Linked DNA regions of Lepisosteus oculatus. The protein of the gene in region 1 purifies or fractionates together with the protein of each later gene. This does not show direct contact. Links are inferred from orthologs where the notes say so. Each region holds a gene or a part of one and is shown on either strand. Other genes may lie near its edges.

Region 1 (7,655 bases):
TCTGTGTTGTGGATAATCTGACATTTCCAGTGTGTACTGTATGTGACTAATGACTCATTCTTACACGCATATCTTTAGATGAGCTGTGTACCTATAGTGTATTACAGAGGCAGATAAAGGCGGCTGCATGTTAAATGTTCACAGAAATAATAGTTAATTGCTTAAGTGTCTGAGTCATTAGTTGTTTAAACAAGATTGCTGACAACAACATGCAGCCGTCATCAGAGAATTCTTAAAATAGATTTTGTTTCACCAGGAAAGTCTGGGGATTGATTTTTAAACTGCCTGCTTCCTGTTACCAAACAGAATCTTCCCATACAGTAAAATTATGTAACCAGTTTCCTCTACCCAGCAGAATGCTTACGATGATACAATCTCAGTTTCTGGCAGCGGCAATGAACTGCACTGGTCAAATCAGATTCTGAATGCCAGAGCCAAATAGTAACTGTAAAGAGGATTATGCATTTGTGTGATAATTGGTTAGAACTGTCACAACAATGGGCTCTGCACCAAGAAGCTTTATGGGCTGTTAATGTTAGGGTTCAAGTCAAGAAGACATTCTGTACCTTTTTTCTTCCAGAATCACTTTATTCCCTGACTGCTTTACACTTATTGCTGCTTTATAGATTTTAGTGTAGCTGCAGTAGTCATTCCACTACAGAAGGGAGCGTCCCATTGTTAAGTGATATAAGAACAAATGATGCTGTCGGAGAGGTTTGACTAACTGTTGTGTATCCATGTTGTGTGCAAATGACAAATAAACTTATTTTAATATCCTTATACAATACCTGCTTATATAGTGGTTGTACCCTAGGTGATGAGGGGATCTAATCCTGTTATTTTGTATCATCTTAAAAAAACATGGTTGGGTCACTTGTGGGAGTCTGGAACAACCTTTCCTGTAGTTTCCACTTTTGTCCTCTGGCTAATGTTTCACTGTTTACTCCATGGAAGAATGACATCTGAAGATTTTCAAAACTCGAATCATGTTTCTTTGGTCAAGACGAAAAAGCACTTTTTAGCCTGCCAGAGTGGGACAGTACTTTGCCATTCATATGCTCTATCTGTATAAATTATGAATATTTTTTTATCAAAAAGGATTCTAACAAGTTATACAAAACCTGCTGCTTCCAAATCAATGTTGACTGCACTGTAGAATTAAATTTCCATTCAGATGACCCTCTGGTGTAGTTCTTATGGTTTTCATTACCTTTCATGTAGTCGGATTTAAGATTCATTGGTCTGTGATGCCTTGGTTTGATTTTGTCACTTTTTTCATGGATGAGTGCTGCATCCCATCTCTAGAGACTGCAGTGAGAGCTTTGTTAATGGACTATGAATAGCATCTCTTGTTTCCTTAAGTAGGAGTAGTAGAACACTGAAGATGTATCTTAATTGTTTCTAGTAGCTGTAACATGCCTGCATTTCTATGCTAATGCTGTTTAGTATGCGGTTTTGTCTCTTCTCATCCTGAGGTATGTTGTCTATTTCTTCCTTGGTGAAACCTGAGTGAAATATTAATTTATCAGTCATTTTGTCTTTAATTATCTAAGTGTTTCCCAATTTTATCCCTGAGACACTTCACCTTGAACTTCTCCTTTGCTATTGAAATACAGAAAAAAATGTAGGCATGAGGGAGTTCTGTCGTGCTCAGCGGGAAGAAGGAAGAAGTATTATGTTTATATGTGCGTGCTACATTTTTTAATTTTTATCTCCAGAGCCTCTCACCCACTTATCATGGATGGCATTAGCACAGATTTCCACAGGGAAACAATCTAGGTTACGGCCTACTTTTTTTTTTACAAATTCTGCCCCATGATCAGGTGAAACTCAAAACTAGTGTAATATATACTATATATAACTCCTCATACCTAACTTGCAAACTGCTAATTGTTAGGGGTAGAAAACTATTAAGGGTTTAATTAAGAATCTACAAGTCAAACTAAAAAAGAGTCCTACAGGTACTCATGTCACAAGGATCAACACGGCCAAGACCTGCATCATGAAAAAGTCTCATTTCAGTTTTGTGAAAAGGATTTAAGTGGAAAAACTGTCCCCATCCTCAATATTCTATTAAAAGTATAAAAAAAACTTTTTTTTTATTTCAGTGCTTGCAAATGATTCTTGAAACAGCAGATACACTCTATTGTATTCCCATTATTGACATTGACACATTATAATTCCACGGGAATTTAAAAATAATATATTGTTACAGAATTTTAAAGGTGTTTATTTCAGATTACAACTGTGTAATGAATCACACGTGAATTTGCAATTGTTCAATAAAGTGTTACTTATCTTTACAGGGGTGTTGGATAAACTTGGTTTAAAATAAGAGTGTAGCCACAAAAACCTCTCTTAATGATAGAAGGAGCACTGGTGATGGGTTTCTGTTTGTATAGGGATATAGCTTCTTTACAGGTCTTTAAAGCTACATATTTTAAAAATGTAAAACTTCACAGTATTTCTGCAGCTTCATTATTTTGTGTGATTCTTATAAAAGTGTTTTGTGTACTCTGATGTTTTATCATGTCATTTTACATTTAATATTTTTACTGCAAATACAAACATATATTTCAGTTTTCAAGATGTTTTATAAATGTTTTTAAATAAAATTAACTTATGTGATTAAAATCAGTTGTGTAGTTCAGTGCATTTCCACTATAGTGAATGAAAGCATGTATTTCAAATACTGTACATTTTGGAAAGAAAATCTGAGTTAATATAAGTAGGTACTTTAATATCTAAAAACCATATTAAAGTCTGAAGCAGATCAATACTCTGGCTTGACAAAAAGTGATGATCTGAAGACACTAATGTGAGAAGATTAGTACTGTATAAATTCACCCTCTTTTATTATATAAAGAGGCAGGCTTATTCTTTTCACCCTGGAGCATTAAAAGATTAAAATACATACAGAATCAATCCACGTTGTCATTTTAGAGCAAACACAGCCCTTCTGTTTATAGCTTGTCATGTTGCAACATCCTCTTTTATAATCGATGTTCATCTAAATTAAAAATATATCTTTCTTACTCAAACATTATGCTTTTAGAAAGATTGAAATGTAAGCTAATTTGTGTATTAATGCAAAAAGCATCTTTATATGTTACGCATGCAATGCGTGGCATATTATTGCTAAAGTACACTCTTCCAAAATTGTAAGTAATATTAAATTTCCATTTTTGCACATCGATAATTTGCACTCGTCCTCTCTCTCAGGGAGTTATGTGAGAAATTGGCACGCGTCCGCCAATACGAACCAGTGGGTGCAAAACCATTTATATTCGTCCAGACTGGGTCTCTGTGAAAAGCTAGGCCGCGTTCCAGTGGCTTTTTATGCAACCCGGACACTCAAAGCCTGTTTTTCCAGCCTCGTAGGAAAAGTGAATTCTTCCAACCCCTTCTTTGAATTCCCAGCACAGATGAGGAAATGGGGATCTCTGGCTTTAGGCCACAGTGTTATGCTGGAGCTCTCTCAACAAACAACTGACATTCTCTGTCAATCCCCTTCATCAGCGACGCACTTAGGAGGGGTTTCGGTATGTCTCCTGCATCCCAATGCCGAGGCACTCATTTCTGAACACAATTACACTGCAACTGTGGAGACCTGTGCTCTGGATAACCGTCCTGCCAATGTCTCCAAGGCAGGGAACAAAATCTCCACAAAAGCCATCTTCACAGAGTTCTTCACAAGAAATGAAATGTCTTACACGATTCAAATCTAATGTTTATAGAGCTCCAAACTGTGTGAGATGTTGGTAGTGGATGTTTTGCTTTTAAAAATACCTTTAGGATGTGGCAGATTTCTGCGGTCTGGCTGGCAGGTTTAAACAGGGAGTGGAAACCTCAAAGTCTGTCCCTATATGTATATGCTAAAGGAAAAAAATAATTATTTGCATTTGCATGTGTGTAGTGTGCTGGTCATTTCTGCTTGTATTTTCACAACCCCCAAAATATGAACGGTAAAGGCATTAAAGTGGACGTTTTTTTTCATGCTGTCGCTGTAAATGTACTGATGTACTGTATAAACTGCCGCCATAAAGCTGTCTTTGGCGTTAGCACTTATTTGAACAATTTTTAAGAGATGGTTATCACCAACGTGCATGCTCAATGGTGCGATTGCACAATGCCCGCAGATGAGCGCCAGGGGGTCGAGCAGTTCCCCGGAGGGGTGAGAAACCTACTACAGGCCAGCGGTGCAGCGTCGTACAGAACCGTTGCCTGCGCATTTCATAAATTCTGTCAAATCTAAGCGAGACGATGTGCGTTTACGTCTCAAGATACCGACATTGCGCCTTTTAATGTTCTGATTAAACGTAGGTGCCCCCTTACAAGACACGTCGTGGCCCGATTTAAGTGGTTTGGCTTGGCTGACTTTGGTCTACAAACTGCGAGACGATTTTTTTGGGGGGGTTGTTTTTATTTATTTTTTTCCGGCGAGGATGGTGCCTTTTTATAATGTCTGCTTTTGAAAGGACCCCGCTGTAGACCTAAAAAGCAGCAACAACAACAAACAAACACGGGAAAAAAAAAACAACAACCCGCGACCGATCACGACGGCTCCGCACGGGCGCTCGAGCCTGCCCCCCCTCTCTCCGCTTCCTCTTTGGTGCGCGAGGAGGCAGAAGCCGCGTCACCTGCGCGCGGGGTAGAGCTGGGAGCGCGCGGACCCGCCCTCCCCGCCGCCATTTCTGAGTCGGGCTGTGTGAGGCAGGCAGGCGGATTCCTGTATCAACAGGGTGAAGTGGGGGAGCCGCGAAAACGTACCTGAGTAAGGGCCTACCCGCGTTCGTCCGTTTTGTGTGGGGTTTTTTTTTTGTTTTAAAAAAAAATCCGAAAGCGTCGAGATCCGCTGCCGAGTGGGGGGGGGGATTGGTGACACCCGAGAGGCTGGAGACGGGCTGTTCTGCAGCACAATTCATTTTGCTTTTCGGGAGACGTGCGCGAAGGCCGCCATTTTCGTCAGCCTGCTTTTGGAAACTCTGTACCGGAGTCGAGAGAGAGAGAGACAGAGAGAGACCCCCCAGCCTTGTTGTTCCCCCACCCTCCCTCCGTCTCGGGAGCTGATTATTGCCGGCAAATCTGCGGGGTTGAGCCGGGGCCGTAGTCGTAACGCCGTTGAGCAAGATGGGGGACAGTTCGGTACAATAATATTTCCCGTTAGTTCAACGGACTGGCAGCGGCGGCTGAAGAACATTGTTTCGGCAGATGGTTGAGCGCTTCTTAAAGAGCTGCCAGAAAGCGGGCGCTCCTTCCTGCTGCTTGGGCCCTTTTCTAGGTCGTTGACATAGCGGGCGGTGGAAAAAGGCGGCATTATAATGTGTCCAAGTCGGCCTCGTAGCTAGAGCTCTCTTGTGAAACGTCAGGGAGGAAATCGGCGTTGCCGGTCGGGGCTGCCATCGTTTTAAAACTTCGTGCCGCGATCGGGGTGGGTGAAAACTCGCCCTTGAGCTCTCAACGAAACTAGGCGTTTCCAACCCACCCCCCCAAAAAAAAAAAACCGGACGTTTTTTATTGATTTTTTTTGTTCTTAATCATTTGGATCCCGTCTCGAGTCCGCCCCGCCATGTCCAACGCGCGGTTCGACCCCTCGGACCGGTCCAGTTGGTATTTCGGGCCGGTGTCGCGGCAGGAGGCGCAGAACAGACTGCAGGGGCAGAGGCACGGCATGTTCCTGGTGCGGGACTCCTCGACGTGCCCGGGGGACTACGTGCTGTCGGTGTCCGAGAACTCCAAGGTGTCCCACTACATCATCAACTCGCTGCCCAACAAGAAGTTCAAGATCGGCGACCAGGAGTTCGAGCACCTGCCGGCCCTGCTGGAGTTTTACAAAATCCATTACCTGGACACCACGACGCTGATCGAGCCGGCTCCGAGGTGGGTGCCATCGGGTTGGGGTCTGCGGCTGCAGCGAGGAGGAGGAGGAGGAGGGTGAACGCATTTGTGTGCGGGCTGTGAACTTCGATTTCCTGTTTTTCTTTTTATTATCTGTTGAGGGGGTTTAGTGTTGGTTTTTGTGTGTGTCTGTGTGTAAACCTAGTGCTTTGCCTGGAAGCCTTTCTGGTCAGTTCTTCCCCTTACTTGCTCTCGGGTGCTCAACTTCCGTTTTATTTTGAATCGAGAGGCGAGAAGGAACTATCGCCCTTTCAGGCTCGCTTGCTGGACGGGCTCGTTAATGTGGTCTTTGATCTTCTACCCCCCCCCCCCCCCCCCGCCAGAAATAAAAGAAATAAGATTGCATTGTTTGGGGGATATGCTGAAGATGGACCAAGAATAAAACTACTGTTCGCTCACTAGAATAGTGTGATATTGGGTTGAACGCGAGCTCTCAAATTTAGTGAGAAGTGCTTGGTTTGCTTGAGGGGGTTTAGGTTTTGTCGGAAACATTGGGGGAACTTTTAGCTTGTATATCTGTAAATAAGGAAAGGATACCAGGAAATCGGCGAAGCTGGTGTTGTGACAGCAACTAGTATTACATGTTGCAGACAGAAACCCCATGAGATATATTACTTTGTGGGCTCCTCTTGTTTCTCTTACCTGTTACTCTGTAGTTCGAAGTCAGTCTTATTTCAAATAACCTGTTAGAGGCAGTGCAGAACATTATGAAGAGTCCTTAGGTGACATGACCAGTTGGGGTTTCATTTTCAAATTGTCTGCTCAATTTGAAAATGAGCACTTTGGGGCTTTATTTTGAGACTTTTAACTTTGTTTTCTTAGCTTTTATGCACTTTAGCAATTAAACAAGCATAGATCTGTTTTAAGAAATAATAAATGATTGGTCAAGACCAGGTGGAAATTGTGCCAGAACACCAGGGTTAACACCCCTGCTCTTCAAGGAATGCCCTGGGGTTTTTAATCCCCTTGGTTTGTATTAAACAAAGCCGCAGGAATTATTTCTAGAGCAGTTTTCTACCATTTTGTAAAATCTTTGTTCCGATGGTACCATTGAAGAGACGAAACTGTTAATTGAGTTGCTTTGTGTTCCCGACGGTTGTTTTTGGGTTGAAGTGGGTCATGTGTGCGTTGCTCTTTTCAGATACCCAAATCCGTCTGTTGGGACCAGTCCCGCGCCCGTGGGACAGCCCGAGGAGAATCTGGAGTATGTTCGGACTCTGTATGACTTCACCGGGAGCGATGCCGAGGACTTGCCCTTCAAGAAGGGGGAGATCTTGGTTATCTTGGAGAAACCCGAGGAGCAGTGGTGGAGCGCCAGGAACAAGGAGGGACGAGTGGGCATGATCCCTGTGCCTTACGTAGAGAAGCTGGTTAGACCATCGCCACATCAGCACCAGTTCCATGGCAACAGGAATTCAAACAGCTATGGCATCCCTGAGCCTGCCCACGCCTACGCCCAGCCTCAGACACCCTCCCCTCTCCCCCCTACCACCCCAGGCGCAGTCATCAACCCCTTGCCCTCCACACAGAATGGACCTGTAATGGCTAAAGCCATCCAGAAACGTGTGCCTTGTGCTTATGACAAGACTGCCCTGGCACTAGAGGTAGGATCTGCATTTCTCTGTTCTTAATGATGTACCCCGTTCTTAATGAACTTATTTTCACCCATAACAATTTGACATTGCTCTTGCTGCTAATTGCACCACTTTTCATGAATCTTTGCCTTTTCTGCTTTGTTTTGATGTATAACATCTATG
Region 2 (7,659 bases), on another chromosome or scaffold:
TCTGCATCATTTATTGGCATTTAGAGATCAATAGTCCTGAATGACTGACCCATGGGAATCTCAGGCTCTAATATAGGAAAACCTTTTTGGTTATTTTTTTAGCAGCAGTCAAACGTTAAGTCATGTTAACTTTAATTCTCATCAATCCTTCTTGAGGTAGACTCGCACAAAGGATGAAGTATTAACCATGAGGGTTGAAAGATTAACTCAAAGACCTAGCTTGCCTTCAGCTGTGGGCATGAACTAGCACCTCAGTGACTGACAGACTTTCTCCGTTACCTAGCACTGCCACAAGTGTTGCCTGTAGTGGGGCTCCTAACACGCAGCAAATGGCCACAGATTCTGTTTTCCAGGAAACAGTGTCTTTTTTTAAATCCCAGCAAAAAAAAAAAAACAAGGAAAAAACAAACTCAGTGGAAGTTTCCACTTCTCGGGATTTTATCATCCTGGTCATCTGTGTTCCTAACACACACACTAGGCACAAAATTTCCTGTTTTCCATCCATTGTCACATCAGTTGGTTCTGAAGGCTGTCATTTCTAACTTTAGATCTGAAACCTGACCCTTAACCAAACAAGAAAGAAACGGCAAATAACTTCTTACAAGCTCTGCTGCAGAGAGAGCCCTAGGAGGACATAAAATATCTGATGACTTTTGATGTCAAACCAGCTCAAATCAAAACCTGTGGACTGCTCCACAGGCTATGCAGGTTATTAAACACTTTCAAGGTCTTTGCTTTTACGAGAGAGGTCTCTTAGAGCCAAATACAAATATAGATCTCTGTAACCCGTTTGAAAATGTTAACCCACTTTTGTTACTGAACAGTAGATGGTAAAGGTCTCTCCCTTTTACAAATACAAGAGGAAGAAACCCTGACAAAGCAAAACTCAGTCCTGCATGAGAAAACAAACGACACTTCAGCACAGAACTTTTGGCTGCAGCACCGTAAACACAGAGGTTGTGTTTTTCAGAACAGGACAATTTCAAAAAGGCCTCTAAATGCAGTCCAACATTGCTAATGGAGAGAGAGCATAGCAACAGCCTTACAGCAGATTTTAAATGGAGACCTGTACTCCCTGGTCACAGCTGATAAGAAGGCAGCGATATATTGCAAGCAAACCGAAGGGTGTGCAGACCCAGTTTACCTAGGATTACCGTTTCTAATGGCTTGTAATATAGCTGGACTGGACCTATTTTAACTGCTGTAGCCATTTCATTCCACCTTTCAATCATTTTCCAGCTGGTGTCGGGACACAGCCTTTATCGAGTATCAGACAGACTCGTTCCTGCAGTCATGACACATAAGAACATTTACAAACAAGAGGAGGCCCTTCAGCCCATCTAGGTCACTTGATTTTGTGGTGCTAACTGATCCAGGCTTACACAGCTATTTCTTCAAAGAAGCCAAGTACTTTGAGCTGACTACTACTACTGTTACAACTACCTGACTATTAAATTATTACATGTTGCACAACAGCTGGAAATTCATCTTCTTCTTTGCTAAATACGTCTTGTCGCACTTTAAAAATGGAAAAAAGAAATGTTCTTATGAATTGCTCGGTAGTCATCCCAGTCTAGCCTTGCTTCTCTAAGACAACTTATACACCACCTTGGCCCTAGGCATGATGATTCTGTTTATTAAGGGGGCTGTCAGCTGCTAGAACGCACTCAGCAGATTCTATGGAACAAGTGTAAAGATGAACTGGTCAAGCCCACCTCCACAACATAATAAACCAGTTATTTTCCAGCTACACTGTCTGTATGGAAAGAAAAAAGGTCTCGCATCCAGAAGCATCATCTTAATAATTCCGATCACTAAAATTATTATTTATTACATTACTTTTTGCAATTTTTATACATCAAAAAGAAGTATAATATACAGTGCGTGTATATACTGAATGTATTAAGACATTCACCCACAAACATGTTTTACACATAATTTGTAAAGCATTGTGCAAAGGTTTGGGTTCTTTAAATATCACATGTATTGCGTAATTCATCACCTTTACAGTACATCATTGCACTGTTTTATTTATTAATACAAAGCATGTTAACATTTTAATAGCTGTATTTCAAAGAATATCAAAAAATACTTTGCGTTCTATGTTTTTACCTCTACACCTTCGCAGTGTTTTACTGGAGTACTGTTGCAGGAATTATAGATGACATCTTGAAAATCTTTCCAGCAAGTCCGTTTTGCTGGATTCTTTTAATTTTATACAGATGCTCATTTATACTGAAGCTCTACTGCACTCTACCATATACTATATACATTTCATCAGCATTATGAGAGAAAAGGGCTGGCTGCGCATGTCAGTTAGTAGTAGCCTTGCTCAAACCCCACTAGTTAACAGCTGTACACAGTAATCTTCCAGAACAAAAAATTAAAGACAAAAAATACCATATATATAAAAAAGCAGTTTCACAAGACAAATCACTTAACAAAAATATAGAAATGATCGACAAATAAATTTAAATGTATAGTCTCATAGAAATTAACTGGGCATTACACCAGAGGCCTCTTCTCTACAGTGTTTCTATAATGGCTGCTTGCAGGGAATGTTCAGATTGCAGGACAGCAGATCGGCACATTCTCGATAGATTTCCTGCCTCACTGTGGCTCATTGCTACACCAAAAACCTTTCAAGTCACAGAAATATCACCGCATGGTGTAAACGTACACTTTCAACACGCTGAACAGCTTTTGAGCAAAAACAGTGCTAAACAGTGCTTTGCTTCTCCACGAGAGAAACTCAGGTCCCTTCAGGAAATTCTACAACTCCAGAAAACAATTTCAAACACTGGCGAAGTGAAGGAGTGAGAGGAGGAAAGGAAAACCCTGCCAAACAGCCCAGGAATTGGGAAAATGCAGAGTGCGGCAGTTTTTTTTACCTTGTTTTGCCGTTTGCTTGCAGGGAGGATCGATAACGCGCGCTGGAGCCTGCGTCTGGCTCCGGAGCTTGCTGTGCGCTGTACGGTCTGGCTACTTTCCTGTCGGCTTTCCATCGCCGTCTACAACACCCTGCTCCAGTAACCCCTGACCCACAGGAAGTAGGCACAATGGACTGAAAATAACAGAAACTGTCCCCTCCATCACGCTTCAACAAAGAGCAGGCACACAAATATGGATCGCACTGCTGGGATACTAAAATATCTCCAGCACTGAAAGCAAAAAGCCCAACGAGGCAGTAATGACCAGTGCATCCCCACCCCTGCAGGGCCTTGTGCCTTGAGCCTTGTGCCTGTGACACCCATGTCTGGACATGAGGAGAGGACCCCGATGCTTCTGTGGCAGCCCCGACAACAACAACAGGGTTTAAAGACTTGTAACTAAGGCCCTCTAACTCCACTGCATGGACCAAACTCTTTGAATGATTCTGGCCACATGACTGGCTAGTTTTAACTTTCTCTGCCAAAAATCTGGATTCTCATGTTTAAGCTTTCAGCTGGCGCATCTAAATGAAATTAAACTCAGGTGCACATCAGAGTCATAATCCCCTCATGGGTTCTGCAGTTGTTTTTAGGGAGAGAGGCACAAGCAGAAGAATACACTACTTAAAGACTCCCAACGTCACTTGTGATATGTGCAATAAGTCTACTACCCCTCTGCATGGTGCTGTATCATTTAATTGTAATTCACGCATTATGTAGCAAAGCCTCAGAACAATGCTGTGATAAAATCAAAGTTTATTGGGATAAATATAAAAAACAATTTCATACATCTGACAGTCTCAGATGCATCACAAGACAAGTGATCTAAGATGATCTCAGCATCTTAACAGGGTTCAGGCTGTTCCTGTTTTCACAGAAGCCAGGAACTGGAAGAGGAGGCTCAGCTCAGCTCCATTTTCCAATATCAGCTCACAGCAACCCTGACTCAGGATGCTGAGAAAACCCCTTGAAGACGAAAGATGCTCCTGGAGCAAGATTGTGGAGCCCCAGAGTTTCAGGGTCTCTGGCTGAATTTAGCCTTAAACTGAAGCTCCATCTGGCTGCTGGGGTTGGCTGCCAGGCTGGCAGAGTTTCCCCGAACAGCTTGCACGTCTCTGCAGGCTGGCACAGAAATGACTCTCATGCCAAGCAATTAACTGCAAGGCTAAATTGAGCTACACGTACCTGTCAGGTTGGAGCCCACAAACAGCACTTCACAAGGGACAGTAATTTACTGCCGACTACCAAACCTAACCTTCACAATATCAAGTCTGGGGCTGAAGGCACCCCAGGCTTTTAATTTGGAAATTAAAATTTAATGGAAAAAGAACTAGCACATTGACTATACATATTTTTTTTCTTTGCCCAGTTAACCCTTTATGTCTTAAAACTGATTTTAGACAGAAATAAAGAATCGCTTGCATATTGCAGGAATGTTTCCTGCAATATGCAAAATGTTCTCAATTTTCTCTGCACATCAAACGTACCATGATGAATATTCAGAATGTTATTTAGATTGTCAAAATAAACTGTTAATTATAAAACGCGTGTTAATTGGTTGATTGGATGCATAAAATTCAGGGATACACATATATATATACACATAATCTAGTACAACAAGTGAAATGCATTCATACAATAATGATTCAGTCACAAACAATAACCCAAGAATTCAATGAAAACAAACCACGTGTGTGCCGAGAAACGAAAAAATGCAGTTTGTTCATCCATGTAGAGGAAAACCTTGCAGAGTGTTTTTAGTGGCGTATGATTCACATCTGGCTCTTGGGGAGATAAACCCTGTTCAGTGCTCACCTCGATTCTACAGTCCCGTCTTTACATGACTTTGCACTTCCAGCAGGCCCGAAGCCCAGATTCAGAGTTCACAAACCTTCTACACCATAAAGGGTTAAAACCAGAACACGCTTGAGAGCTGGAAGTAAATGTTAGAGCTCTCAGTAGGTCCTCAGAATACTTTCAAGCTTCTAAATGTACAGAGTAATTATACTCTGTATAAGCAAGCTCCAGTCACCAACTTCTGTGCCAGCACTGCTTAAAATGGAACCTATCGCAAAAGGACCACAGGTGCTGACACCGACTGCAACTGCTCACAATTAAATACTGCGTTTTAATGACTACAAGCCTGACAGGGCGTAACACAAGAACACACTCTTCTGTGACACAACAGTTGCTTCCCTGATGGAGGCAGCTTTACTTTGTTGTGAATTTGTTTAATAGAATCAAACACTTAGCAGTAGATCCAGACAATGGAAAGTCATACTGTATTGCTTTTAAATTGTATTTTTAGCTCATAAAATAACCAGATAGACCTGTCCTGACCTGCAGTTAAGACAGCTTGGAGACAAATTCACTCTTGGCTTATTTAATTGTATAGTTGATATTGCTGCTTGCCAAGATGATTCTGTCACGGTACTTTCTTTCTCTAGTTGACAGTGCATGTATGCATAAGCTACTGCAAGTCTTGATATTTTTCAGTTACAATCTGTGTAACCCTACATTTTGAGAAACAGGTTTCAGGTGTCTTTTATTTTCTAAGAGACGGGCCTACTTTCAGAGTCCACCAGCTGCAGTCAGGTGTGTTTCTGTCCAGGGACACCACATTAATTCTTACAAGTCAAATAGCTGCAGCTCCAGAACCATGACTTCATTTTATAGCTCTCTGCAGCCATGTGGGCTGGAAAGTTGTTGCCACACCACATTAAAAATAGCTGGACCCATTTAGAAACATGTGCAGGCCCTCTGACACGCTGCTTGTGACATCCTGTTTTGTTTCTGAAAGAGCACGCTGTGAGTTTAAGGGCCTTCCACTAGGCTGGAGAGCACTCATTTGTGTGCAGCAACACATCCAGTTCTAACCTTGGAGAACAGCCTTTCCTTTTCTTATTGCTTATTGTAAATGCTTAAACACAAAATCTTAAGCAATTCAAATGCCACCATTCAACGACAATAATTATAAGAATAACAACTGAATGTTTTGCATTTGAGAACAAAGTGCCAAGCATGTCTCTGAAGCTCCACATGATCTAAGGATCTACTCTGCCTGATCATGGAGATCATCTGATCTAGAGGAACAACACTTTCCCTTTTTTACAAACCATCTCACCTGCATTCACTTCACTGAGGAGTCAGAGCACACTTTCAAAAAAAGGAGCTGGATCTCAGAAAATGGTCTTAACACCTGTAATGCACAATACTATGCTTAGCTTTTGTATTTGCTACTTTCATAGTCCTCCTCCATTCCCACAGTGGTGGACTAAAAGGAAACAGCAGAGCTTTTAGCTGAACACTAAATATTGGGGCTTCTCCTGCTGCAGATGAAATGTTATTACTCTATAAGCCTGCGGTTTGACAAAGAGGCTCAACCACACTACTGGATCATTATCCTGGCTCCCCTGACGGGCTAAAGTATCCATATTAAAGAGGCTAATCCGTTCACTCTGATATATCAGTGCTCACAGCCCCAGAAAGAGGTGCTGGGGAGGTTACAACACTGAACAGAAAGCAGATCGGATTTCCATCATCATCATCACGACACAAAGCAGGGTTTGAAAAATTTCACCCGTTTGTGATTTCCAATACAAAATAAAGAACCCCCCCCAAAAAAGATGAAAAGGGTTCTTATTGTTATAAGCATTCACAATATACAACAGAAGGGTCCAAAAAGCAATAGAACTATTATACCTGCTTTAATACCTAAAGTAAGACACATTCAAGTTTTTTGTTTTATTGCTCATTAGAAGCTATAAAAAGCAAGAAAATCCAGAATACTTGGAAATGTCCACAGCAGATAAAAACATTCTCTGAATTTCTAAAATATTCTGCTGAAGCAGGAGATAAACTGAGTTTCCTGGCTTGTTATTTATATTTTCTTTATACACTGCATTAAGCAAATGATTTACAGTTTAAGAGTCAGACAGACCTGTAATTACCAACCCAAACTTGCCAACAACACTGACACATCCATAGTGCTGTCCTCACATTACCTCTACATACTTTGAGACTCAAATTAAAATTTTACCAGTATATGCACAGTTTTCTTCTCTGCCCTGTTTTGGTAGCCACTCACTTTCCTGCCATCTAGGATACTAAACAGTGAAAGAAAAGTTAAATTGACCGATAATGTACACTGTGACCCATTCAATACCAATTACAGATTTTACCCCTTAAGCCCTAATTCAGCCATGAAGTTACACTCACTGCAGTTGTGCTGTGAAGCCAAGTCTCATCTTCACACCTCTTAAAATCATGAAACCTTACTAATAATGATGCTTCTTGGTTTTTTACCCCCCAAAATGTTATCATTTCAATGAGCAGTTCACCGATGAGAGGAAGAGACACTCTCAATAACTGGATTCAAGTATGTCCATTTCATATACTGACTTGTCACATTACTTAAATACTGTAAACAAACATCCAACTATTAACCCATAAAGAAAAACCTTGCTTTTTGAATATGCTTCTGAGCCAAAAAATCTCAGACTCATTAATCGTATTAAATCTTATCAGTAGGACTCAGCCATTTTCTAATCACTTTTGCCCAGATACAGACTTAGCTCAGTAGACTTAAGATTTACTCTTTCACCTGCTCACAAGCTTAATTGCTAATGCCAGAGATTCACAAGACGTTATGCAAATATCTTCAACTGATACATCACCTTTCAAGTGCCACCTTTCTATGACCAAGGAAAAATGCCAATTTATTCCAAGT
Region 3 (7,018 bases), on another chromosome or scaffold:
TATGGCTGCCGTCACATCATCCAGGTGGATGCTGCACATTGGTGGTGGTGGAGGGGAGTCCCTATTACCTGTAAAGTGCTTTGAGTGGAGTGTTCAGAAAAGCGCTATATAAGTGTAAGCAATTATTATCATTATCCCCTCCACTCAAGGTGTACCCTAATTCCATGAAGGAGAATCATCTGGTTTCAGTTCTACCACTAGATGTCAGTGCATCATAGTATAATGGCTTGTAGTCTTGCACTTTTTGTGTTGTGGTTGCTATTATTATTATTCCGTGTTAAAAATGCCCATGACATAGCCCTACATGTTACAACTGCCTTTTATGGATGTGTCACATATACATGACTAATATTATTATTATTATTATTATTATTATTATTATTATTATTATTATTATTATTACAACAACCAGAATCCATGCCAGTAAAATATCAAACATCTTTTGTTTAATTTAATTGATATTCGTAAAATGGACGTTTTTGGTAGCCATAATAAATGTAGCAAGTTTAATACCGGGGAAAAATTAAATGAAGTCTTATATGTTTGAAAAAGTTCCTTTGGTGTACCTTGTGGGCCCTTGCAGATTCCTTTGTCTGCATTTGTGACCCGACAGGTTAACACACATGTCAAATTTTATCGGAGGAGTTTCTCTCTTGTTCCCTCTCTGTGTACTTTTAAAGATGGCCTTAGGCCACACATTCTGTAAGGCTAAAAAACCTGTTCGGTTGTGAACAGTGCTTCCTCTTTTGTTCAGATAGAGCAAAGCGTGTGTCGGCGTGGGTGGGGCTCTGCCTTGAAGGAACTGAAGTGTGTATTTACCTTTGATTGTATTTATTCAAAAACACAGCTGACAATGAGGAAAGCGGGACTGGAATTTTATGTTAAACAGTGCCGTATAGAAGACGAACAGCAACCGTCAAAAAGAAGCCCAAACTTACATCATGGACTCCACATGCGTCCTTCATGACGCTGTTTTGAAATAGACTGTTCATGTAAAAAACATCACGCACAGTACTGCTTTTCCCTCAGGTACAGTACTGCATTGCCTCTAAACAAGGGGCGGTTCAGAGCTTGTGTGCATCAAAACAGACACTGCTGAGTACTCACAGTAAATGTTAAGTTAAATATGAGGCCCTTACCTACTTGTTTCCATGTTCCAATTACAATACTATTACCTTTATTTCAGTTTTAGCACTGTTACACCTCCAACTGTATTTATCCACCTCATAGATAAAGCATGTAAAGAATTGTGCGGGTGTCATGTCATATATAATGTCTTGTCATGGATACTGCTAATGGGAAGTTTGTCATTTCAAGGAAGTTTCTGAATTTTTAAGTCATTTCATTTATCAGGAAATTAAATTGTTTTTCTTTTTTCTGATAAAAACAATGAAATCCAACTATCTATGCAGTTACCAGGCTGATTTGTGAAGAAGCAGTGTATGACTTACGGGTAAAGATACAAATTCAAGAGGCAGCAAAGCGAAAATCAATAAAATGTCTGAAGTGGGATTATGACAGTGTATTGTTTTTAGAGGACAGTGTTATATGTATTACATCAACTTGGCAGAACAGAACCTTTAGAAAACACATTAAAAAACATTCTTGTAGAATTATTAAATGGAAATGTACTGGGTCAAACAACTTATTGTAAAGCATGTGAGAGACTAAAATGAAGAGAATAAATCATGTTGCATTATGAGTTACTCAGAATTTTTTTATTACCGTTACTTCAATGCCAGATTTAAAATAATGCAGCTGGTTGATAGGTACCGCTACACTTTGTAGATTCTTATTGAATTGTGCAACTGAGCCACTGAACAACACCCATATTCTGTGGAAGTTCTTACATAATTGTATATAACCACAGGCATCATTTTAGATAAGGAGTACAATAAGGAGTACAATACCAGTGTCAATAAAGTTGGCTATGGTTAATCTAAATACAGGAAAGGGTGCATTTAACTTTTAATTTCTGTGCTTTCCACTGCTGTCTGCTTATGTACCAATCATAAATAGAATTGCAGATATACATGTACAAAAACCGCTTTAAAATACGTTTCTACAACAGCGGAGCTATCACTCGCTGGGCTGAATGAGTTTTAATTTAAATCAGAGAGTGTTGTTGACATATGGTTGAACGAGAGATTTCTAGTTTAGTTGGTAGCTGTTCCATTAAAAAGGCCTTCCTATGATCCCATGACTTAATATTGTTCATTCAGGGGGCAGTAGGCTCTAAGCCAGTGTGTGCTATATTGTTCTAACTATCCAGATTCGGTTGTCACTATGTATTAGTTTCTCTCTGTCTCAGGTCACACAATTGGCTCACTCATTCCTACTCTAGTCTGTGCAATGTGATCATCTCATAAGGTCAGTTTTATGATGCATTCAGGCAGCCTTCTTTATCTAGCTGTAACTAATGTCTGAAAAAGAGGTTCACGCCCAATAATTTAAATAGGAAACAAGCTATTCACAAAGCTAGCCTGATTAATTTTATTTTTTAATTGAAGTGCTCACTGTGTCAATTTAACTGAAAATTCTGTCTTAATTGAAAAATGTTATCTAATGCAGGAGGTTGTTTGAAAGCTGTCACTGCAGTTGACCCTCACCAAGGTAAGCAAAATGAAAATGGATGGATGTGAGGCGCTTATTGTATTTTCACATTGCAGAAGACACAATCACATTGTCTATGTCTAGAGGTCAAATTCAATATTGTGCCTGCTGTTTTAACTTGCATTTTCACAGCACTATGCCACGTGTAGTTCTGTGTGGTGGAATATAAATTAGTGCTCATGTGCTCATGTCCTGGGATCAGTTGTGGACTGGGGCACCTTCTGTGTGACATTTGCACATTTTTCTTGTGTTCACATGGGTTGACATGGTTTTCTCTGGGTGGGCTGGTTTCTTCTAAAAAAAACAAGGGTTTCCTAGCTAGATTAATAGGTTTCTGTGCATCCTTTGCTGGACAGGCATCCTGTCCAACATGTAGCCTCGCCTTTAACCCTGTGCTTTCGAAATAGGTGCTGGATTGCTGTGCCCAGCTTTCTGATAGTGGATGGGGTGAAAGGAGTGTAAACTGATACTGCAGGAATGTGACAGTACTCTCAAACCATAATAAACTATTTCTAAAGCTGTTTTTTAAATGGATATTTCTATAAATGGAGCATTCCAGAAGGATTCATTCATTTATAGACCTACATCTATCCAGTTGCTATCGCTTTCATCCAATTCAGGGTCACGGGAAATTGGAGCCTGTTCTGGCAAGCTGTAGGCACAAGGCAGGATACATCCTGGATGGGACACCAGTCCATTGTAAGGCACACACAGACACCCGGGGCCAATTTTCCCAGAAGCCAATTAATCTACAAGTATGTCTTTGGGCAGGGGGATGAAACTGGAGCATGAGGAGGAAACCCAGACGGACACAAAGAAAAACATACACACTCCACTAATGTAACATCCCTGGCAAGACTACCCACTGCACAACTGTGTCACCCTGTGGGCCAACATAGAAAAACATAATGTTATTTGAATACAACAACAAAAAAGTGGTAGGCTTTGGAGTTGTTGGTCCAAGCTGGTTGAACTCTTTGATACAGGGACCATGGGTTTGAGCTCAGGTTACTGAGTTTGTGGAGCCAAAATATGAAAAGAAGCAGCTGGCTATTCAAATTTTAATTCACTATTCAAATAAAAAGGCATTGAGACAGCTTTTGTTTATGGACATTTTCATATTTTGCATTTTCCCCTAAATGATTCCTATCTTATGGGATGAGTGGAAAAACCAAGTTTGTCTCTACTGACAGAGCTGTAAGAAACACAAACTTATACGTAATTTAAAATTAAGGCGATCCATTCATTTATTCTCTTATTTAAAACCTGTGAATACACAGGAAAAATATGGCCCCAGGGTACCAAAAACTTGATTTGAGCAGCCCAACTAAAATGTGAAGGAGCTTAATGCACGTTTCATTCCAACCTTGAGAGGGCAGAAGAGCTTCTATCCTCCACACAACGGAGTACTACTACTGCTAGGCAGGACTGTGCTGGCCTCATTGAGCACTGGAGGCTTGTGAGAGATTAAGGATTTTGAATAACTGATCTGTGTGTGGAGAAAGCTGTCCTGAATATACCAAAACCGCCACATCCACTTGATTTATCTAAGGATGCGGGAGTAAGGAGAACCGAAAAAGGGGGAAGCAGCCGATCGTGGGATTTTCTTCTCCGCCGAGTCTGACACTATCTTTGAAATGTCGGGGAAAATAGAAAGCAAGCAAGGTAAGGGAAAGCACGCTTTCGCGGATATGTGGCTGTGATAGTCGGTAAGGGGGTGATAGGACAGTCCGAGGAGTTGTCCTGGGAGCGTAGGCCCCAAGTGTATAAGACTTTTTATTTAACATTCCCGCTAATGATCGGAATGTAGATTGCTGGGGTGGTGTTGCATTCTTCTCAGGATAGCCGCTGCTCTGAATGAAATATTCAGATATAGCGATTATTTCGTTTTGCTGCCGTTTTATACTTTCATTCCCCATTCTGCGAAGGGACTTAGCATATCTGGATAGAACTGTTGCTCTAGCTGTCTGGCATATACTGTAGGTATAGCCGATAGATTACTTCCTAAATGCGATTTTTGTAATATTTTGCTTTGCTGTAATAAAAAAATCTGCAGAAGATCTGCTGCTTTCGCTAGAGGTTGCCAAAACTAACGTTCATCTTTAATCAATGCAAACAATATATGGATTATTATTTGGTACTGCAGTGTGTGCAGCGTCTGTATTCATTTTTACACAGACGGGTGAGCGTGCAACTGAACTAATTAACCGCTCTTAAGATCTGGTATCTTGCTAAGGGATGTGCCATGGTTGTATATATACTGCCAAGGTGATCTGCGCCTGGTGCATACATGTTAACTTGGCGAGCAATGAAAACAACTTTTTTAATTACAAATGTTAGATATACTTAGATTTATTTTTTACGCAACGAAATATACTATTTTATTGGCTGTGTAGCACAACAGGACTGATGCAGTTTTGGGGGTCTCCAATATACTTTTAACGATGCCATAAACCCCATAACCAGTTGTTTTAAACGAGTGAGACTTGTATTTTACCACACACGTTAAGCATATGCTTAAGTACAGGACTCTGTTACGGTAGCTTCTGTTACGGTTCACCGTGGCATTTCTTTTAAATAAAGACCCCGGTCTCTGATGCAGAAGCTCTCATTTAAGATAATTTAAGATGGCTTTTGTGTTTTATTTCCCAGGTATTTATTTCCCATGTAATACAATAACTTGTGTCTGCCTAAATTTGACTGAAAATTGAAAGAAAACCTTCGACTACGATTATTTTTCCTTTGCTGAGCAAGCAAGCATCAGTGTGATTTATGAATGAACATGCATACCAAAAACAATTCCTCCGTTTTCTGATGAAGAAAGTGCTGTTCTGTTAGTTTACTTGATGTGACGCCTGGGATATTTCATTGTCAGTTCATTTCATTATATATTAGTATAGGCTACCTGATTATTGTGGTTAGGATGACAGCACACTTGGAGAAGTAAACATTGCTGGTATATAGTTCTGCTGTCGCTTTCGACACTCAGCAATAACAAGTCAAAGCAAGTTGATTATTTTCTAGGCCCTTTTGTTATTGATATTGAAACTGAAATCTTTATACAGGAATTAGTATGAGTCAAAATGTGATGCTGCCTCTTGCTCAGTGAGTTAGCCAGGTGTCAACCTTGCCTGCAGCAAATTTATTGTTTCTTTGTATCAAAATAAATCTGTATGAAAACCAGGACGCCGTTAAATTGCACATTAAAATTGCCTGCCACTTGTCTCACTTGACAAAAGGTGTAGAATGGTGGTGTTCTGGAGTTATAGTCAATATATTCTAGCTTGCAGCGAGAGAGGCTGTAGTCGGTGAGTCAATATATCAGGCCTTGAAAGAGGAAGGCCTGAGACACAGCACAGCAAGCAGAAGGTATTGCTGCTGTTGAATAGGAAATCCGAACCCCTCAGACTTGCTCGGGATGGTCTTAAGTATCTGCCAGCCACAGGCACACAGTGGTTTCTCAGCTGTTTCTGCTGTCCTCTGCCCCTGGAGCCTCTGGGTGTGGTGTGTTGCTTGCCCTTGAATTAACTCACCCAGTTGGACTGATTTCTGGCTGTTGAACAGCGCCGGCTAGGCAGAGGTGAGATTAGTCTTTGCTGATGGTTGAAAGGAGCTGCCTCAGGCTCCTGCTGCATACAGATGAGTGCCCTGCTGTGCTGCATGTGCTGCAGGTTAAAGTTTGGGTGGCAGGGTAGCTGGAGCAATCAACAGGCCTTGACAGGCTGCCAGTGCATTGCAGGGCACACACAGACACAGACGTGCTTACTCTCACACCAGGGCCATTTTTTTCCCACAGGGCAATTGACCTAACCAGTATGCCTTTGGCCTCTGGGAGGAAGCCCATGTGATCATGGGGAGGACATACAGACTCCATGCAGATAACACCCCAGGTCTAGAATTGACCTCACGGCCCCAGTGCTGCAAGGCAGCAATGCCAGCACTGTGCTATCGTGTGGCCGCTCGTTTCGGTTCTGTTTCCCTAATGAAAAATGCATTAAACCAATTTTGCTGTGAAGCATAATTCAAGTAAAGAGATATTTAACCTGTCCCTGGCTTCTTTTATTTCAGTTGATGTCTCAGTTCTTCCAGTAAGTCAGAACTTGAAATTCAGAATTGAGAAAACTTTTCTTCTTTCAGTTTTTTTTTTCTCTCCAGCTGGTAGTGTAACTGTATGACATGTTGGTGACACTTGATGTTTCTGTTCTGTGAATTGCACAGTATTTTCGCCTCAATGCTAGCTAATGTCAGAAAACGCTTGGTCTGATATACCTGCACAGTTATGTCTGTTTTTAATATGTGAAGAGGGTAATTTTTAAGAAGCCCCCTAGCATGTAGCCCTAGGTTATTCCCTTCAGTCAGTTTAAACAGATTTTTATCATGCACCTAATAGTGAAGAGGTTTGAGA
Region 4 (7,650 bases), on another chromosome or scaffold:
CCACACATGGCACTCTAGAGGCCCAAGTTTCACTGGCTAGGCTTCAACTACAGTATATACTGTAGGTTTTTCTTGATTTGCTGTACAACAGTGACCAAACACAGCTGCATCACTCCTCCTGTCTAACTGATTTTATCGTGGAGGAGACAAGTATAGAAATTAAAATAATAAATGGCAATTCCAAGTGTAAAGAAAAACAAGATTTTGGCACATGCAAAGTTCAAATGCAAGGTTTTATTTAATATCACATGTAAAACATGTTTAAATATATGCAAATCCTTGACTGCTTGACTGTCTTTTATGTAAATCTATTGCTCCTGCAAGCACCATTCTCTATTTGTGTTACTATCTGTGTGCTTATCAGTAGATCAAGCGATTATCAGGCACCCTAGCAGTGACGGGATCACCAGATTTTCAAAAAAGATGTTTAAATCCAGATTTGTCATAGTAGGTCATTATTGTACATTTTGATAGCCTTGTGTATTTGAGTATTTATGTTTATAGCACTCATTCCTACTGTATCTAAAACTGCCCCAATATTTTGCATGTTTGAAAAATATTTATTTTCATTTTAGCAATGCTGTCTACCTTACAACTTATTTTTGGGTGGGAAAAGTGTCATGGTGCACAACACAGTCCAGCACTTAGATTTCTTCCATGTATTGCAGTCATGGAACCCTGCCAGAATACGCCAAAGTTGACAAATGCAATTTGATTAAAGGGAGGTTCATTTTCAAAGCACCTATCGTATTGAACTCATCCTTCTTTTCGTCCCAAAGAAAACCTCTTCTGGTTATCTTGGCACATGTAATGCTGTTAAAAAGTGCATCAAGTCTTGCACTGCTTGTTTTAAAAGGGTCAGATGACATTGTTTAATTGGGCTTAACCACTGACTAATAAACCATTTCTTTGTTTCTGTTTTATCCTGCAGTGTCTTCAGCTTCTCTCGCAGTGATCCCTGTCCCCTAGAGGAAAGCTTTATCTAGTGAGACAATATTGCCTCAGAGGCCCCCTTCAGACTGCTGGCTGTTCTTTCCAGCAGTGAATAAGGACAATGAAATCTAATACCCATGCCCAGTAAATATTTTTTCTTTTCCTTTTACCTCTCACCTACAGTTTTTATTACCTCTGGAATTAATTTCTGCCTTTTCAGTATACACTGCCGCAAACACACTATTATGTAAATGTACAGTATAGAGCACTGTGCAAAGGTAGTGTGTAAACACAATCAAAAATTCATCAACGCACCCAGTCATATTTTCTACTATTAGAACAACTTTGAGTCTTAGGAATACACCGTTTACAGTTTAGGTGAGAAGAAACAAAGCTTCTCATTTAACAATTTCGAACTCTCATTGTCCAGAAACATAATCATAGCAACTCATGGTAACTTATACACGTGTAGGCAGTATAAAGTGCTGTAGAAGCTCATCCAGAATGTCACAATCAAAGTTCATTGATTCATCATTGGCTCCTTAGGATTAATATCAATTTGATACTTTCCTACATGCCTTAAAGTTCTGTTCTTATTGTACTTCTTTTGTATTTCTCCATAATCCCCTCAGTGATCAGACAAATCGAATAAAATGTGTTAAGACATGTCTTGTCAAAGGCTTCTGTATATTTCCTCTTAACATATGGACTATGCAATAATTAAGTTTTAAAGGCTACTTTTGTGAATCTGTTTCATTTGGCAGAGCTTCTTTCAAGAATGTCTGCTGAGTCTCGGCTTTCTCTTTGCTGGAAATAGCTGGCATTGTACTGTGATTTGAAAGAAATATTTCAGTAATTGTTTGCATTATCCACCAAAAGGCTACAGAAAGGTATGTTGTTGTGACTATTATGTTTATCACACTCTTTTTTAACAATGTCAGATCTATATCTTCCTATTCCTCTCATTTATTTTTCCTGGATCTCCAGTTTGTCTTCAGGTTAGAGTTTTTTTCCTGTGAAATAAAAGAAATCCCTATTTTTTCTGAGTGAACTGTTGAGGACATACTGTACAGTACACGTATAACAAAAGTGTCTGCAAATTAACTTAAGACCAAAACACAAAGTCCTCACCTATATTCTATAAACCCTTCATGTAGCATTTATAATTTGTGATGGATCCCCAAGGCCATGGAGATGAAATTGTATGTGTTCTGAACGAATGTTCCAGTGTGTAGCGGTCCATGTGTAGTAAGATATTTTGTACTGTAGTTTGCTGTATGCAATGCCTACTCAGCTTTTTAAGATGTGATTTTGTCTAAAAGAGAAACACACATTAAGGTAACTGGGGTTACATTTAAAGAACTGCATACTTAGTAGGAGGTTTTTAAAGTTTCTATCCTGGAAAGAATAGGAAAACATTATTAAACAAAGTTTTTTTTTAATCATGATAAAGCTTGCTTTAGCCATGCCATGAATATTGTTTGCTCTTTTTAAAATCTGAATTGTCAGGAAGCATAGGCCTGTAAGACTCAGTGTGAAAATGTAAATATGAAACCATTGCACACGCCTACAGTATGAATTCTAACATCTAAATGTTAGACTGACTCTCAAGTGGGTTTCTCCAGACAGGGAATGCTGCTATGTTAAAGAAATGTGATTTTACCTGCTTACAGTTTACCCAATAATAGCAAATCCCTAATGGTTCTTCATGTTTATAGCATAATCAAATGCCCTGTTGATCTACTGAGAGTCCTTGACAAGTTCATTTGATACTAGAGCGGTCCTGTTTGGTTCTGTGGGACAGCAATACAGAACAGACTGGCTGGCTTTATATTTATTCTTTTGTACTTGTGACAAATGAATCCTCATTAACAAGCATTAACAAGCATTAACAAGCACTTACTTCCTTCTCTTTTAGCATTCCATACCCTCACATCCTTGAAGATTGTTTTTCTCCACAGATCCCAATTAACCATTAAAGATATTTCATGTGGCCTTTGCAGTTCTGACTAGTTGCTGTATACCTGTGAGCTAGCAGAGACCAGCAAAGAGTTGGAACAAGTAGTTCAATGTTGTGTCCATTTCTGCTACTCCTTAACTGTCACTACAAAAAGAAAGCAAACTGCTCACCCAGAAAGACCGCAAAACAGGAAATAATCTGATAACAGACACTTTCTGAACATTCTGGCAAGAGGGGTGTTTGTTGTTGAAGCTCTAGATATTTTTTCCTGTTTTTTGTTAGAACATGTCTCCTATTTATGCTGAGTAACAAACCTACAGAAATGAGGTTAAAAAGTAGGAAAAAGACGGCCAGGCTATAAGCATTTAATGCATTCACATGTACACGTATTAGCAATATTGAGTTGAAGACATGTGATATGGGGCTCACTTAAAAAAATATAACCAGAAAATATCCAAACATATCAATGTGATCATTTCAAACTGTTAGGAGATGATGTATCAAACTATTAATTTTGCCATGATGCACATATATATCATACACAAATAGCCAGGGCTAGGACTTGGGGTGTAACCCTGGTTTTCTGGCCAGATTTACCAGTCATGACCTCTTAATTCTCATATTTAAATTGGCTTCATTACTTCATTATAGTGAGCGTACTGACGCACTTTGGCTGCTGTTACATCATCCCATTGGGTGCTGCACATTGGTGGTTATGGAGGGGAGTTCCCTTTTGCTGTAAAGAACTTTGAGTGGAGTGTCCAGAAAAGCACTATATAAGTGTAAGGATGATTTATTTTAGCTACAAGGACAATTTGACAAGCCTGGGTTATACAGTGGCTTTTACTTTGGTTATATTTGTTTATTACCAGCAGATACCAATTTAAAAAAGATGTGAATATCAATTTGTTTACAAAATAAGACTGGGTTAGACATATGCTGGCATATGACATATTCATCTGGTTCCTTTATTATCTTAGATGGCTTTAACACTACGATTTAAGTTCAGTTTTCTGTCTGTGACAGGTTAAAGGCTGTATACAGTACACTGCACAGAAGAACAATGAAAAGATGTTCAGCAAGACAGAAAACACAAAATACATGTGACTGTTTGCTTTAGAAGACAATTATCAACTGACTTCTTGTTAATTCCATTTTTATGCTTATTTTTAACACTTCTGTACCCAATAGTGAGTGCTTATTGTTTAGGCATAAGCTTTAAAGAGCAAAGTTTGAAAATTGAATTATTTTGTGGGGGAAATGTTTTTAGGATTTTGAAGTAAAGACATCACTTTGTTGAGAGGGAAGAGAATAGAGACTGGGGTTTCTGAATCTCCTTGTAATTTGCCATGGGTAGAGCCTTTTACAGACAATGAATGTTAAAATACCAGGAACCCAACCTACAGTACGTGTTGTAGAATACAATGGGTACTTCAGACTTGCGTGGCTTTCTGGTTAACAAATGGTGCTTTTGTCGACAGCCAAGGACTTTCCTGTTGGCTCACAAAGCTTACAATGTGCACTTAACCAGGTGCTTATTATTCTGTATGTTTATTCAAGGCTTTTCTGCGGCGGTGGTGTGGTGGAGCATTTGTTCCTCATTGTACTCTACACAGCTGTGTTACCCAGCCTGAGAAACACTATAGAGCACCTACAGATGAATAGGTGGGATTACGATGCAGGATACCATGCAATTACAGGCTGAGCTTCAGAAAGGAGCTAATTAGGAAACTAATGATGGAACAGGAAACTATAGGCTAGGTCTTGTGGCAACCTGGTAAACTGCCCGTATTGTATATCCCAACTGAGTTGTCAGTAACAGCAAGTGATGGTACGTAGCTAGATGTACTGAGTCACATTCATCAACTCATACAGTTTGATAACAATACAGTACCTCAGTCTTATTTCAATGCTTTCTTCAATTCCCAGCTGTGAAAAGAGACATTCTTCTCAATACTTTCTCAATGTGCTGGAGGTCATTTCCCCACAGTTCCACATTAGAGCTGCAGTTTCCCAAGGTGTCAGTATGACAAGATGAAAGGATAGGTTCAGGTTTCAAATTGAGTCAGATAATTGATGAATTTAATAAGCATTGTATTAATATGTGTTTACTCATCATGGGTGTGCTCATTTGGCAATTACATTTAACAAAACTATACAAGAAAAGGTTTTGTTCTGAAAACTTTCATCAGACACACAGCAGGACTTTCACTTTCTCAACTAACATTTATGATGTTTACAGAATTCTATAAAAACTTCAAAACTTTCTGGTAGAATGATAACTATGTGGTTGTCTGGTAGATCTCTTCTCCCAATTGGTTCTGTGGACTCTTAAATACATAATGATAATGAAAGCTTTGAATGAATGACCTTTTCAAAATGAATTTCAGTTAATTTAATGTTTTTGACTCACGGTGGGAGTTATTTTAGGGAATTTTAAAAATGCTGCACCCCCTGTCCTGTGTCCTTTTAAGTGACACAGTTTCCCATAGAGTGAACCAAGTCTGACATAGTCTGACATAGATTTCAAAAGAGTTGAGTGTACTTCATGAGTCAGATCAAAACATAATGGTTACTTACACACAATACAAGCTACCTCAACTTTCAAAGCCACTGTCATTGCCGAGAACAGAGACAGAGAAAAAAAGAAAACAAAGATATCAATTTCATTTTGTGACAGGTATGCTTGAAAGCCTTCTGTTCCCTGTAAAAGCAGCTCCTGATACAAAATTGTTTCACTCAAAATGTTTTTTTTTACTGTTTAATGATGTATGGTCTAATTACTATTCATACAACCCAAGGCCATGAAAAGTTCAGTTGTCTAAATGGTGCTGAATATCTTCTTAATACATATGAAAACAAAAAGTCAGATGCAAGACATGGTATCCTAGTAAAAAAGGATTTATCAGTTGAAATTGATCACAGCTGCATCAACGTTAAGACCATTCATCCAAGGCTCAGGTGAAAGCTGTTAATACCTGCACTATTTGCTGTCACTGTAATTAACAGTTTAAAGTATTACTGCATGAAAAATACCATTTACTGAGTTTAGTCAAATTGTTAGCCAGACTTTAACCTTTACAAACCATCACAATGCTAAAACATTTAACAATAATGCTCAGAACTATGTTAACATTTACATTTTGATTTCCATGGCTTTCACAGCATATCTAAATGTGAAAATCCTAGTAGAAAAATTCTTCATGCCAATACGTGTATAAAGACATGCAAACTAAGAGTGTTCCAATTTTAACTTGTGCATGTACTGTAATATGTATCCACTTTTGGATTGAAATCTGGCAATTGACGTGACAGTCTAAAGTTTTCGATGTTTTTCCCTGATGAAAACCTTTATAATACTAAAGAAGTATTATAAAGCCTCACACCTGAAGCCTCACACCTGAAAAAGGCTCCACGGCCGAAACGTTGTGTTCTCTTTCTTCTTTTTTTCAGCATGGAATAAACCTACTGTATTACAGTACTTGTTCCTTTGCAGCCTACGCATGCTGATGCAGCTACCCACCTGAACTACTACAAACTAAGAGTATAATACTTCTTTAGTATTATAAAGGTTTTCATCAGGAAAAAACATCGAAAGCTTTAGACTGTCACGTCAATTGCCAGATTTCAATCCAAAAGTGGATACATATTACATGCACAAGTTAAAATTGGAACACTCAAAGAGTACGCAACTCTTGACTGCAGCAAAGCATCCCAAAAGGTTGCATAACGAGTTTGGTGAGTGCAATGGACTTCATGCATTTATTTCCGGAAAGGGATACGCAACTAAATTAAAAAATGTTTATAATATGAAATTTATTTAAAGTTTCCAAGTACTTAAAATCACTCAAATCTCTGAGATAAGCATAGGGTACAGTATATTCTAACATGGTCAAATGTATGGATTGAATAACCCAAATAATAAATTCTAATGTAGATGTTTTCTTAAAGGAACTATTATTAAGCAACAAAACCAAGCTCGTTGTTGTGGATTTACACCAGATCCGAAAAACTGGAAGTTGTGATCCCAGTTCAGCCCTTTTTAACAATGGAATCCATCTAGCGTGGCAAACATTTAGTTTTCAGCAGTGGAAATCGCAAGAGGTCAAATCCTATCCACAAAGTTCCTCAAGAAATGACTCTTCATTCTCAAATCCTAAACACAATACGGAAGTGATGCTGTGATTGTGTACTTTAATGAGTATGAATTTCCAGATTTAGATTTCAGTCTGTATAAATGAAGATATGGACAAAACCATTTTTTAAAGTAGCATGAATGCCATTTTTAATAAATGCCTTGTTTTTATGCATTTTAGCATTTGGATATGGAATGAAATGGCTAAATAATCTTATATGTTAAACCAACTAAAAAAAACTGACTGCACGAGTGTCTAAGAATGTAAGGAAATACTGGTAACATTTGTTTTTAAATTAATATTTTATGTTTACTAACTTTGTGCATAGCTGTGCAATACAAAAAACAACAATTTAGGATTGACAGACGTTAGCTGACGGTTTAAAAAATGTGTGTCTGTGTACAGTAGCTTCGAACTGGACATCTTCCCACTCCTTCGAAATCTGAGCTTAGACATGTAACTGAAAACGTTCTGTGAAATTTACACCTCACTGTAGAATGCAGCCTTTGAACAATCTGAGCAAACAACTATTTCAGCTCCACTTAATTTCCCACTCAAGCCCTTGGGACCTGCTTACCAGTTATACTCATCCTGTCACTCCCATGTACTTTACCAGTAATT

What was found.
Region 2: the proteins of crkl (region 1) and gab1 purify together in Homo sapiens (affinity purification with western blotting; 3 studies listed by BioGRID and IntAct, with this or other methods). This does not show direct contact. The link is inferred for Lepisosteus oculatus from reciprocal best matches to the Homo sapiens genes CRKL and GAB1.
Region 3: the proteins of crkl (region 1) and rapgef1b purify together in Homo sapiens (affinity purification with western blotting; 16 studies listed by BioGRID and IntAct, with this or other methods). This does not show direct contact. The link is inferred for Lepisosteus oculatus from reciprocal best matches to the Homo sapiens genes CRKL and RAPGEF1.
Region 4: the proteins of crkl (region 1) and nedd9 purify together in Homo sapiens (affinity purification with western blotting; 4 studies listed by BioGRID). This does not show direct contact. The link is inferred for Lepisosteus oculatus from reciprocal best matches to the Homo sapiens genes CRKL and NEDD9.

Annotation. Positions count from the first base shown.
Region 1 is NC_090717.1:9,392,649-9,400,303, forward strand, and holds the start of crkl (crk-like protein), read left to right. Parts: upstream 1-4,644; 5' UTR 4,645-5,569; coding exon 5,570-5,880; intron 5,881-7,039; coding exon 7,040-7,502; intron 7,503-7,655. UniProt on the Homo sapiens protein: May mediate the transduction of intracellular signals.
Region 2 is NC_090696.1:27,606,180-27,613,838, forward strand, and holds the start of gab1 (GRB2-associated-binding protein 1), read right to left. Parts: upstream 3,021-7,659; 5' UTR 3,006-3,020; coding exon 2,892-3,005; intron 1-2,891. UniProt on the Homo sapiens protein: Adapter protein that plays a role in intracellular signaling cascades triggered by activated receptor-type kinases. Plays a role in FGFR1 signaling. Probably involved in signaling by the epidermal growth factor receptor (EGFR) and the insulin receptor (INSR).
Region 3 is NC_090719.1:7,538,663-7,545,680, reverse strand, and holds the start of rapgef1b (rap guanine nucleotide exchange factor 1b), read left to right. Parts: upstream 1-3,998; 5' UTR 3,999-4,250; coding exon 4,251-4,278; intron 4,279-7,018. UniProt on the Homo sapiens protein: Guanine nucleotide-releasing protein that binds to SH3 domain of CRK and GRB2/ASH. Transduces signals from CRK to activate RAS. Involved in cell branching and adhesion mediated by BCAR1-CRK-RAPGEF1 signaling and activation of RAP1.
Region 4 is NC_090705.1:17,612,065-17,619,714, reverse strand, and holds the start of nedd9 (enhancer of filamentation 1), read right to left. Parts: upstream 3,004-7,650; 5' UTR 2,855-3,003; coding exon of another isoform or gene 2,837-2,854; intron 1-2,836. UniProt on the Homo sapiens protein: Scaffolding protein which plays a central coordinating role for tyrosine-kinase-based signaling related to cell adhesion. As a focal adhesion protein, plays a role in embryonic fibroblast migration.